3 linked regions of the Ovis aries genome follow. The protein of the gene in region 1 interacts with the protein of each later gene in a pairwise test. Links are inferred from orthologs where the notes say so. Each region holds a gene or a part of one and is shown on either strand. Other genes may lie near its edges. The genes, in order: WIPF1, FASTK and WWP2.

Region 1 (3,542 bases):
TACAGTTTTTTCCCTAGTAGGTCGTTCCACTTCAATAATATAGGACAGAACCACCCTACTACATAATTAATGTTCGACTGCTTTGGTTCAGCAAAGGGCAGAACTAAAGAGGAACCAAAGTTATGGAAAAATTCAAATCACTACTGCAGAGTCTCTTGCAACCCAAATTCATTCTTCAAAAAATGCTTAGCCTGGAAACTCCTACCAGTTTAAACATGCACCAATTATTTATTGAGTACCTGCTATACTATAAACCAACCATTATTCTAGATGCTAGAGGCAGAGGAGTAAACAAAATAGAAACAATCCAGTTCTCTTGTAGTTTATGTTCTTACGGAGATGAACAAAAACCCGGTAAACATAAATATTTTCAGATCATTATAAGTACTAAAAATAAACTAAAATAGGCTGATGACATGAAGAGTTCTAGAGAGGCCAGGATAGGTGGACATGGCTGGGGATGGCTCCTCTGGGATGTGATATTTGAGCTAAGGCCAGCCATGGAAAGGAGGAAGAGAGGTGCTTCAGTTGGAGTGTCAGCAGGTACAGAGACCCTGAGGTGGAAGTAAGCTTAAGTTAAAAAACCAAGGCTCATATGCCAGGGACACAGTGAGCACAGAGGAGAACACTGTCAAATGCAGCCTGAGTGGTCAGCAGAAGCCGGGTGATTAAGAGCCTTGTAGGCCAAAAGGAGTTCAGATTTCACCCAAAAGTCCAATGAGAAACATTTGGCTGGATTTATACAATGGAGTAATGTGAACTCTAGAGAGAATTTTTTGTTTTGACTTTAGCACTAGAAATTAGCTATATTTTCCTTGGCTGTGTGGTATGTTTCTATGTCACCAACTTGTGATAAGTTTTATCTTCAAAGTTTGGATGAAAGTGAAAGTCGCTCGGTTGTGTCAGACTCTTTGCAACCCATGGACTATACAGTCCAGGGAATTCTCCAGGCCAGAATACAGGAGTGGGTAGCCTTTCCCTTCTCCGAGCGATATTCCCAACCCAGGGATTGAATCCAGGTCTCCCACATTGCAGGTGGATTCTTTACCAGCTGGGCAACAAGGGAAGCCCAAGAATACCAGAGAGAGTGGGTAGCCTATCCTTTCTCCAGCGGATCTTCCCGACCCAGAAATTGAACCAGGGTCTCCTGCACTGCAGGTGGATTCTTTACCCACTGAGCTACCAGGGAAGCCCTAAAGGTACAGTTATTATCCATAGCTACATCTACATGTAGGACCCAATATGCAAATTGTATGCTGTGAAAGTATATACTTCTGGTACACCATTTTGTGCATTAACTTCAATTCCATCTTCATTTAATTATTTTACTTCCAGTTGTCTCTGGCCTAAATTTCCTCACTTACTATTAGAGTACTGAACGTATGCATATGTCTGCTGCCTCAAAACCTTTCAGTAGGTTTTAAATATACAAATTCTAAATGCAGGCCTAGCAAGATAAAATCTCTTATATTAGTGAGTCTCCCTCTAGATTTTGACAATCCAAAACTAACATAGTCAGCTAACTCTGAGGATTCAGTGCCTTTATCTTCATGTGAATGTGAGAATTTCCCAGTGACATTTTAAAAGACCATGGAATTAAAAATAAAATTCTTCTAGCACAGTAAACATTAAAAAATAAAATTTCATGGAAAACTTTCTTGAGTTTCTGTCACAATCAGGGAAGAGCCTCACGCACTCTATAAGGTTTTTAATTTAGGCATGACCAGGTTCAGTTTTCTTTCTGCCATTCTGTTCACAGACATTCCTATAGGACCCATTTCCATGGCTTCCTGCAGAGAATACTAGAATCGCTGGCCCTGAAATGGCAAATGTCTGCCAGGCAAAATGCCCTTCTAGATTTTTGTGAGATATGTAATTATATTCTCTAAGACATGCTCCACTGTGTGTTTGAAAAGAGACTCACAAGTATTTACTCCACTAGACAGCTAGGTCAGACTACCTCACAAAGAAAGCTGAATCTGCCATGTCACCAGACAGAGTTTCCATGATTTTTCTCTCATTTGCTCCTTCCTTTTCTTTCCAATCTAGCTCACCCTTTAGAAAAGTACAAAAAAGTACAAGTTTCCCCAAGGACACTGGGCAAATATTTAACAGCTAGATGGAGCTGTCTGATCCTGATTTAAAAAGAAAAAACGATGCTAAATAGAGTCCCTCTTATAAAACGGTGTTAGCGTTTCAAGCAATCTAAAATGTTTTAAAGGGCATAGTGCCTTAGAGGGGATGCCAAATCTCAAACCGCCAGATTGTGCCTTAGTCTTCGGTTACTAAGGGAAGAAAATGCTCTTTACCATTCTCCCTGTTGGCTGTGGATCTCAGCTTCGGCATTCCAGCCTGGAACAGTCCTCCCAAACCGGGTGGTCCACCTCCTCCAAAACTTCCACCACCTCCTCCGCCGCCACCTCCGCCATAGCCGCCGCCACCTCCGCCATAGCCGCCGCCACCACCACCACCAGCAGCTCCTTTAGGTTCTGTAGAAGGAAGAAGACACATTCTTTTCACATGTATGAAGACACTGCCGGAGAACTCCACCAGTCCTGGCCCAGGTAAACAATAATGATACAGCAGGAAGCTGGCTGACCCTAAGCCCATGGTGGACAACTGCGATTTCATTAGAGGGTAGGATTTTAAGGACTCACCCTATCTCTAGTCAGAAAAGCAGAAGAGGGTTCTTTCTACTCCAGGGCTATCTCAAGCCCTGTGGTGGAAGAATTGGTAATAGATAATGTCTTTCCTCCACATGGCTCACTGCCATATGAATTAATAATATCTATTTGCTCTGTATCAGAAAATTTGGCAAATAAAAGTATCTTAAAAGAAAGAATGTGTTAAGGGAGGAGAAGATGCAATAAAAGGTGAGAAGAAAGGAACAGGTAAAAATAGAATAAAGTAAAATATCCCATAATTCTGCTTCATGGAAATACCTGCTGTTTTTGTATATTTTTTCCCCTGCCAGTTTTTTCACTGGATATACTTTTTTTCTTAAAATTAAGACCAAATTCACTACATAGTTTTTAGTCTGCTTTTTTCACTCAATATTGTTAGCATTTCCCATGTTATTAAATATTCTCTGAAAGCATGAGTTTAAAGGATTGCATTGTGTTTTAGAACATGAATGTGCTGTAATTTATTTAACCATTTACTTATTTGATGGCCTTTCAGGTTGATTTCAATTTTTTAATATCATAAAAAGCAACAGTAGACTTTAACATTTTAAAAATTCTTTGCAACTTGAGACAATGTAAAGATTGTTTTAGTTTGCATTTGTTGCCAAAAAAAAAAATTGTGAAAGATTCTGAAATGGGCAGACCAACAAAAAGGGAAAAGAAGAAGAAAGAAAAGGATTACCAAGTATCCAGTTAGCCTTCTGGGTCATTTCCCATTGCCTTTGAGGTAGTCTATAACTCTGTAAGTTGTAGAAAACTGAAAATAATGCGTATTTGTCCACAGAAATGCATATTAGCTGTGTTCAGTGTAATTCAACTGATTATTGACCTATTTTACACCTATTTGCAAATTCATTT
Region 2 (4,164 bases), on another chromosome or scaffold:
CTGAAGACTTGGTGGAGTGGGATCGACCAAGCTAAGACAGTGGCTAAGGATGTTTGGAGAAGTGCAGAGAACCAGGTGTACCTGGTGGGGAGTTGGACAAGCCAGTGGGGGTTTGAGCCAAGGTGGTACCCCAGGGGAGAGGCCAGAGAGCGTAGGTAGGTGGTCTGCTGCAGGAAGCAGCAGTCAATCAAGTGGACAAGATGAGGGGGGTGGGAGCTAGGCCTGCTGGGGTGTCTGAGGGCCACTAGGAGAGGAGCTTGGGAAGCTGAGGCAATCCCACCTTGCTATTGAGCTGGGCTTCCTGAACCACCAGGAAGTGGGCAATGGCTTCCAGAAGCTGGGGCTCCCTCAACCGGTGGCGGGCCAAGTGCTGCGCTAGGAGCACCATCACGTGGGGAGTCAGTTCCTCAGGCCTGGCCTCTGTGAAGAACAGCTTATCACGCTGGACCCTCAGGCCAGACCTGGGTGAGATTCCAGCAGATACTGCCTGCCTCCACCCCCCCATCACCTGTCCCCCGCTCTGACACCTGCCAGGCTGCGGATGAGGTGCTGCTGAGGACGCCGCTGGAAACGGGGACAGCTTAGAGCGGCTTCCAACCTTTGCCCACCTCGAAGGATAGGCGGCAGAGGGGGCGGTGGCTTCGGAGGGAGGCGGAACCTTCGCTCCTGCTCCAGGGCGCACATCAGGGGCCCATCTGATGGGAAGCCTGAGAGGCAGAGGGTCAAAGGAGGCAGGGAAGGAGCTGCTCTGCTCTGCAATCCTGCAGTTTTAGTTAGTGAATCCTCAGTCCTTCTCATCTCTGTTTTCTGGGCTGGAAGATCTGCTACAGAGCACGCGGAAACACCAGAGAAATAGGAACTACCACGTGAATAAAGGTATCACAACCGTCTGTGGGAAAGGCCTTATACAAAGAAGGCAGTAAGATCTCATCTCTTGCCAATGATGATCAATTGCAGTGGCTCCCTAGGGCACTGTATTAGAAGAGAACTGGTGGCTCAGTGGTAAAGAATCTGCCTGGCAATGCACAGGTTCGATCCCTGGGTCTGGAAGATCCCCTAGAGAAGGAAATGGCAACCCACTCCAGTATTGGGTTGAGGACTTGGTGGGTTATGGTTCATTGGATCGCAGAAGAGCCAGACACGACTTAGCGACTAAACAACAAAAAAGGGGGTGGCACCCTAACCTAAGCTGCAACTCATGCTGCTTGACTCGTGATGACTATCGTGGATACCGCAGAGGAGCAGCAAGTGTGGCATCACTCAGCAAGTGTGCCATTCCTGGCAAAGCTTGAGGTGGGTTCTGTCAGTGATCTCAGGTGGGTCTGCTACAGTTTCTCTATCCTTCCATTGACACCCACCCACCCATAGACACCGTCCTCACCCAGTAAGGCTGCAAGGTGCAGACACACGTGGATGGTGTGAATGTCAAAGGAGGGGCAGTTTCGGATGATGAGCTGACTCAAGTCCTGCAGTGTGGCCTGCTCCACAGGAGGGGGCTGCGGCAGAGACCCCAAGAGCTGGCTCAGACGACGAAGCGCCACAGGGTAGTGGTGGGCACGCACTTTGGTGGGGTTCTGCCCCAGCCAGCGTAGCAGCTCCCCAGGGCTCCTCGCCTGTTCCAGAAGCCGCTGCAATCCCTGCACAGGGCCTGCATGGGGGCCTCCTCCAGGAGGCCGGTGGTCTCCCCATTTGTTGGGTCCCAGACAGCAAGGCTGTACTGGTGGGAGCAGCAGCAAGCCAGACAGACGAGCACTGGAGGCCTGGGCAGAGAGCAGGACTCGAAGCATGGAGTTGGGTGCTGGAGACCCTGAGGGGTGGCCCAAAAAAGGGAGTGAGGTATTCTCCAAAGGGGAGAAAGACCAACTCTCTGTTCCTCACCTCGCTCCCCATCCAGAGGAGTCTGGGGACAGAGCAACCCGTATTCTCTTCACCCTTCTTTGTGACTGCTCTGGTCCTCTTCCCCAACCCGCCCCTCTCTGACTCCTTCCAACCTTTGCGAGAGCAATCGGAATCCTTCAGAGTTCTCGCGGAGGATTTTTTACAGAGCAATTCCACATGCATCATCTCCTCCGATCCTCCTCTGACACGCCCGTGAGGAGGCAGGCAGGGGCTGGTACTATCTCGATTTCACAGGTGGAGAGACCAAGGCCCAGGGAGGCGAGGGGGTTAAGGCAAGCCCCGAGGTCCCGAATCTGGTTAGTGGTCGCGCCCAGCCTGGAACCCAGCTCGCCGGACAGATACGCTCCCCCCCACCCCCGACCACCTCCCCCTCCCGCAGGAGGCGGCGGCGGTACCGGAGGGTGGAGCGCGGGCTCCGTGGTCCTGGGTTCCATGCTGGGCGCTCCCACTTACCAGCTGCGTGACCTTGGACAAGTGGCTTCGGTCTCCCTGCCCAAGCCTTCTCGCCTGTGAAACGAGAACGCAGGGCCACCTCGGAGGGCGCCCGTGGAGCCCGCGGGCGCGGCCTGCGCTACGGCGCGGAGTCGGCGGTGTCAGGGGGGCCCCCACACACACCCCCACCCGCGGCCCGGGGGGAATGCCAGGAGACCGTGGTCGCGGTCGCCAACACCAACTCCCGCCGCCCTTCCCCGCGGCCCGCCCCGCAGGCGCCACCCCTACATGACTCCCCAGGCCCCGCGCAGGTCGCTCCCTCGGTCGGTCTCGGGGCCCGGGAGCCGGGCTCCCCCCGCGGCCTCCTCATCAGGGGGCCACCGAGTCCTCCATCTTCCCGGCAGCCCCCGAACAGCGCGGCCCGGACGCCAATCGCCGCGCCAAGTAGGTCCTCCGCCAGCAAAGACGTGGCTCCCGGCAGGCCCCGCGCGCCAGGGCGCCGCGCGCCCCGCCCCCTGCTTCCGGGAAGCTGCGCGCGCGCGGCGCCGGGCTGGGGCGGGACCAAAGGCCTGGGGCGGGGTAGGGGCGGGGTAGGGGCGGGGCCAAAGGGCTGGGGGATGAGATTGGGGTGCAGAGGGGAGTGAGCAGCGGTTGGCCTGGGCGGGCAGGGCAGGGTAGGGCGAAGCATCTGGCCCACCCCTTTTCTCCCAGTAGGGCAGAGCTCCCCGTAGCCCCCCTCCTCCACGACCCACACACGCAGACACTAGGCCAAGAGTGAAAACGTCACAGTTATTTAATCTGCACGTGTTCCAGAAAGCCCCCTCCACCCATCCCGACTCCCCTTCTCCAGCCCTTCCCAGTCCTCGGGCCCCCAAACCAGCCAAGGAGCGATCCGGGACTAAGAGGTGCCCAGGTCCTCAGGCTGAGCCCTTAAGGGCCCAGGGGCGTGGCCCCGCTCTGTCCAGGGCCAAGGCAACTACAGCAGCTGTCTGACTTGGGGTAGCCCACTGTCAGGGGGCGCTGAGGGCCAGCTGCCCCGGGAGGTGGCCCAGAGCCATGAAGGTCACAGGGAGGGGCTTCCGCCGCCCCTCGGAGTGCTCTGCCGCGCAGCGCTGGGCTCCAGGGTAGTGGGAAGAGGCAGGTCGGAGAGGCGGGCCTGGGCAGACAGCAGCTCCCACCTTGTCGTGGCGAGCAAGGTCCCGAGAGGCCGGTGGCGTGGCCAAGAGCCCGTGGAGGCACTACGGGCGGTACATGGCAAAGGCCAGGAGGCTGAGGAGCAGGGTGAAGCCGGCCAGACCCAGAGTGGCGGTCAGGGGAAAGAAGGGCCGGTACTGGATCTGGCAGTACCATAGCAGAAGCAGCAGCAGGAGGAGCAGGGGCAGCAGCAGGCTGCCTACTTCCAGCCCTGAGGGGCCTGGCTCGGACCCCGGTGGGCAGGGCGGGAGGGGGGGACCCACCCGTGTGGACACGTGGCAGTGGAGGACACAGTTGGGAGGGAGGTGAAGGCTGCCCAGGGTCTGGGTGTCGTCTCCTAGTAGCTGCCCTTGGTAGATGAGTCGCACGTGCTGTTCCCGGCCGGGAAACTGGGTCCTGAGGAGAGAGGGACCTGGGTAATAGAGCGAGTCTCAGGCACTCCTGGCCCCTGGTCCGGAACAACTCTCCTACCCTCACCTCTGGCCTCCACGGTGTGTGTGTGTGGGGCCCTTCTGCTTCAGGGGAGCAATACAGTGTGTGACTAGGGGCCTCAGTTTCCTCATCTATAAGAGGATCTCCGGGATCTCTGCTGGTCCTTCTAGGACTGTGATCATCCCCGCCCTACTCTTTAGCACTTCC
Region 3 (4,126 bases), on another chromosome or scaffold:
CTCAGGTGAGGCTCACGCTGCATCTTCTTGCTAGCTAATTTCTCCTTTTTTCCCCACCACGTCACTCGCCCATTCTCAGGCGACCCACTGCAACTCAATCCCCCAAGTCGCCCCTTCCCCCTGCCCCGCTTCCTCCACAAAGGTCACTCCTCTTCATGCCTGGCACCTATGATGCTTTCCCTTTCCGGAACGACTTGCTGGCCGCCGCACTCAGGACGGCCTTCGCGCCCACCTCGGAGCAGCCCCCGCGCTCGGCCAGCGGCGCGCCCACCCCGCTCGGGCGGGAGTCGGGACACCCCTCCTCGGAGGCCGGAACCGCCGCGCCAGGCCCCTCCCACAGGAAGCCGCCGCCCCCCGGCGCCGGGGCCGCGCCTCCCCCGGCCCACCCCGCGCCGCCCGCCGCCCCCGGACTTCTCCGAGCCCCCACCCGCCCGCTGCGTCCCCAGTGCCCGCGCTGGCTACCTGCAGCGGCCACAGAAGCGGCGCCCAACTCCTCTCCCACTTCCGCTTTCCACAGACCGCACTCGGGCCAGGTCACGTGACCACGCGCGGTCAGCTGACCCGGAAGAGGCTGGCCGGGTCTCAGGTGTGGGCAACCTAGGCCAGGCCTGAGACCCTCTGGCCAGAAGGCCTTCTTGTCCTTTGTATGTTTAAAAAGTGGGAGGATTTTCCACTTGCTAGATGGTCTCCCAGCAAACAAATTGAAATCTCGCAGAGTGCCAGGCGCTTCGTTTACTCCTCCCATCAACGCTGAGGGCGTGTCTATCTTAGCCCCATTTTACAGGTGAGAGGAGGCGTTCAGTCTATTAAGTCAGCAGATATTTATTGAACTCCTTAGGGTTAACAGACAAGATAAAATACAGAACACCGACTTAAATTGTAATTTTAAACTGCCATTAATACGGAAGTGTGCCCCAAATATTGTCTGGTACAGTACATATTTATAGTTTAAAAAAACTAGTTGATACTCATATGTAATCGGCATCCTATGTTTTAATTTGCTATATCTGACAACCCTAAGCCTACTATGTGCCAGGCACGTTTCTAGGCTCTAGAAACTCGAAAGTAGCTTTTGTGGAGCATCTGTTCTTGTGACATAAAACAAAGGTAGAAAATCACTGAAACCTTTGCTGTTGTCCATAAGATGCCCCAGCACAGCAAACTAGCCCTATTTTGATAATATATAGATTAGGTAGAACTTTATGAATTGGAAAATAAAATATTTTAAGTCAGTATTCTTTACCGATGGTCAAGAATTTCAGCTTTGACAAGTTGAATAAATTTTTCACTTTCAATCAGCATTAACTAAAATGAGTATGAATCAACTAATTAGCCTTAAGCACTGTGAACTAATTAGTCTTATTTTTAGGTCTTCCAGGTGGAGGGATCAGATATGCATACAAATTAAACTGGTTGAGCATTTAGTCTCTACTTTTCCCATCCCAAATCCATCCAGGAGATGGCCTTTAAAGGAGCTACAGTCCTCTGTTAACACCTTAATTCTTACAGTAATCCCATCTATAAAACTATTAAAATTTCCCTAGTAACAGTCTTTAGATGGGAGCGGTACTAATTCTATTCTAGGGGAAGGCCTCTTTGATTTGGTGGCATTTGAGTAGGTGTTCACCAAAAGAAAAAAAGGGATTAGCCAAGGCAGTCTCTCACTGTGAGTTAAAGGAGTAAAAGCTTGATATATATCCTGAATAATGGCAGCCCACTCCGGAACTCTTGCCTGGAAAAATCCCATGGATGGAGGAGCCTCGTAGGCTACAGTCCATGGGGTCGCAAAGAGTCCGACAGGACTGAAAGACTTTTCTTGCGCTTCACTTTTCTTTCATAAATTCTCTACATGGTCCCTTCCACCCCTCCCCTTTGTTTATCTCATCTCCAACTGCAGTTTCACTCAGTACCTTGCTTCAGCCACTCTAGCCTGAGGGTCTGTGGACTTGGCTTTTCCCTCTTCCTGGAAAGCTCTTTTCCTGGGTAGTCAATTGGCTCACCCCCTCATCTCTTTCATATGTTTGCTTAACTGTCCCTTGCAGTGAAGCCTTTCCTGGTCACACTAGTTTAAATCGCAACTCATCTCTTCCTTTCCCCTCCTACCAGTACCTTCCTGCTTTGTTTTTTCTCTCCGTAATTCCTCAACTTAGCACTATCTGCCTTTCACATGAATGTGTATATGTATAATCTGTTACGTTACCCCCTACAAAAAAATTATGAAGACAGGAGCTATAACCCAGCTTCCAAAGCAGTACCTGGCCAATAGGAGGCCTCTTTAAATAATCCGTTGAATGAACAGGCTACATCAACTTTTACTGAGCACTGAACTGGCTTCTATAGGTCCTGCAATACAGGAGATATTTTAAGACACATAAAAAATCTGAACTATGTCATCATGAAAGCACCCAAAAAAAACTAAAAAGAAGTTGAAATGTTCATTTAAGGAAAAAGGCCCCTAAAACAGTCCCTGACTTCTAATCTACTTAAAGAAGACAACCAAGTAACTGCAATGCAAAGCAGAAGTAATAACTGCTCATTGAGGGCTAGATTTGAAATGTCTTAAGTATGGTGGGAAATAAGGGTCCAAATCTGTCCTTGGAGAAAACTCTGATTTGGGTAATCAGGACAAGTTTACAGAGGGAACAACAGAGTGGCTTCTTGGAGACTAAGTAAGTGGGGGTTGGCAAGAAGAATTTTCAGGCAGAAGAGAAAACAAGGTCAAAGGCAGAGATAAGAAAGTCCGGGACACTCCCAGGAAAGTCCAGAGGAATTCTAGATATACTTACTGAATTCAAGTCGCGTTTCTTCTGCATCAAGTTTTTCTCTTCCCTACCCAACTGTTAAGTGTAAAGTTTTATAGCCTGTAAATTTTCTTGGAAGTGAAGTCAGATCTTCACTGGCACACAATCAAGACCTTTTCTCTTTCATAAAGGGTCTCACATGTTGAAGTTGTCATTATCTCCAAATGAGTTATACATGGGTCCTTCTACATATGTTTGCTGCTGCTGCTGCTAAGTCACTTCAGTCGTGTCCGACTCTGTGCAACCCCATAGACAGCAGCCCAGCAGGCTCTGGTGTCCCTGGGATTCTCCAGGTAAGAACACTGGAGTGGGTTGCCATTTCCTTGTCCAGTGTATGAAAGTGAAAGTGAAGTCGCTCAGTTGTGTCCGACTCTTCACAACCCTATGCACTGCAGCCCACCAGGCTCCTCCCTCCATGGGATTTTTCCAGGCAAGAGTACTGGAGTGAGTTGCCATTGCCTTCTCCACTACATATGTTTGAAAGTGTTCATTTATTAAGGTAAATTGTTTCCAGTGACAATAATTTTCATAATTTTGAGATTTCTTCACTTTCTATGTTTCAAGGTTCAATTCACTTCTGGGTCCTCTGAGGTTTTGTGTGTTTTTTGTTTTTGTATTTTGGCAGCATGTGGGATGGTTTCTCAACCAGAGATGAAACTGGGGTCTCCCAGTGAAAGCTCCAAATCCTAACCGCTAGGCCACTAGGGAATTTCTTCCTTCACTTCTGAGAGAACCTGTCCCCAGACACCCTCAGCTACCAAAGACATTACCCTCAACTCCCTGAACACTCCCTTTGGATTTTCAGACCTCATGAGTCTTTGCCCTCATCATCCTTCAAGATGTGGCTCCAAAGCTTAGGCCTCTAAACTCAAACTTGCCCCTCGACACTACACAGGATATAATTTTGTTCATAGCTATTACATCACCCAAATCATGGTGGTGTAAATTAGCTCTCAGTATGTATTTTTTCACCAAATGACAGTCCCAAGGCTTCAAGGGACTTGGAGACTAACATTACAGGGAAAAAGAAAAGGGATTAAAGTATTGCCAAAAAATAACAAAAGCTACAAAGTGTCAAGAAACCTATATTGACAGGTATTTTTAATGTTTACTAGAAAAAGAATGGCTCAAAGCCTGATCTTTCTTTTCCTGACTATTCTCCTAAATCAGTGGTTCTCAAGTGTGACCCCAGGTCAGAAGCATCAATGTCACCTGAAACTTACTAGAAAAGCAGCTTGTCCAGCTCTGCCCAGATGTACTCAATCAGAAACTGGGCTGGGCTTCTAGTTCTGCAATCTCTGCAGGTGATTCTGATTTACACTCAA

The links.
Region 2: the proteins of WIPF1 (region 1) and FASTK interact in binary tests that used the Homo sapiens proteins (3 or more experiments, as listed by UniProt). The two-hybrid records come from large-scale screens. The link is inferred for Ovis aries from reciprocal best matches to the Homo sapiens genes WIPF1 and FASTK.
Region 3: the proteins of WIPF1 (region 1) and WWP2 interact in binary tests that used the Homo sapiens proteins (3 or more experiments, as listed by UniProt). The two-hybrid records come from large-scale screens. The link is inferred for Ovis aries from reciprocal best matches to the Homo sapiens genes WIPF1 and WWP2.

The regions. Positions count from the first base shown.
Region 1 is NC_056055.1:135,480,689-135,484,230, reverse strand, and holds part of WIPF1 (WAS/WASL-interacting protein family member 1), read right to left. Parts: intron 2,490-3,542; coding exon 2,310-2,489; intron 1-2,309. UniProt on the Homo sapiens protein: Plays a role in the reorganization of the actin cytoskeleton. Contributes with NCK1 and GRB2 in the recruitment and activation of WASL.
Region 2 is NC_056057.1:115,271,060-115,275,223, forward strand, and holds the start of FASTK (fas-activated serine/threonine kinase), read right to left. Parts: upstream 2,801-4,164; 5' UTR 2,702-2,800; coding exon 2,620-2,701; intron 2,593-2,619; exon of another isoform or gene 2,407-2,592; coding exon 2,353-2,406; exon of another isoform or gene 2,334-2,352; coding exon of another isoform or gene 2,295-2,333; intron 2,250-2,294; exon of another isoform or gene 2,065-2,249; coding exon of another isoform or gene 1,992-2,064; intron 1,808-1,991; coding exon 1,382-1,807; intron 708-1,381; coding exon 528-707; intron 421-527; coding exon 281-420; intron 1-280. Other genes in the region: TMUB1 (transmembrane and ubiquitin-like domain-containing protein 1), read right to left, coding at 3,570-3,921. UniProt on the Homo sapiens protein: Phosphorylates the splicing regulator TIA1, thereby promoting the inclusion of FAS exon 6, which leads to an mRNA encoding a pro-apoptotic form of the receptor.
Region 3 is NC_056067.1:36,378,916-36,383,041, reverse strand, and holds the start of WWP2 (NEDD4-like E3 ubiquitin-protein ligase WWP2), read right to left. Parts: upstream 2,829-4,126; 5' UTR 2,814-2,828; coding exon 2,787-2,813; intron 537-2,786; exon of another isoform or gene 463-536; intron 326-462; exon of another isoform or gene 1-325. UniProt on the Homo sapiens protein: E3 ubiquitin-protein ligase which accepts ubiquitin from an E2 ubiquitin-conjugating enzyme in the form of a thioester and then directly transfers the ubiquitin to targeted substrates.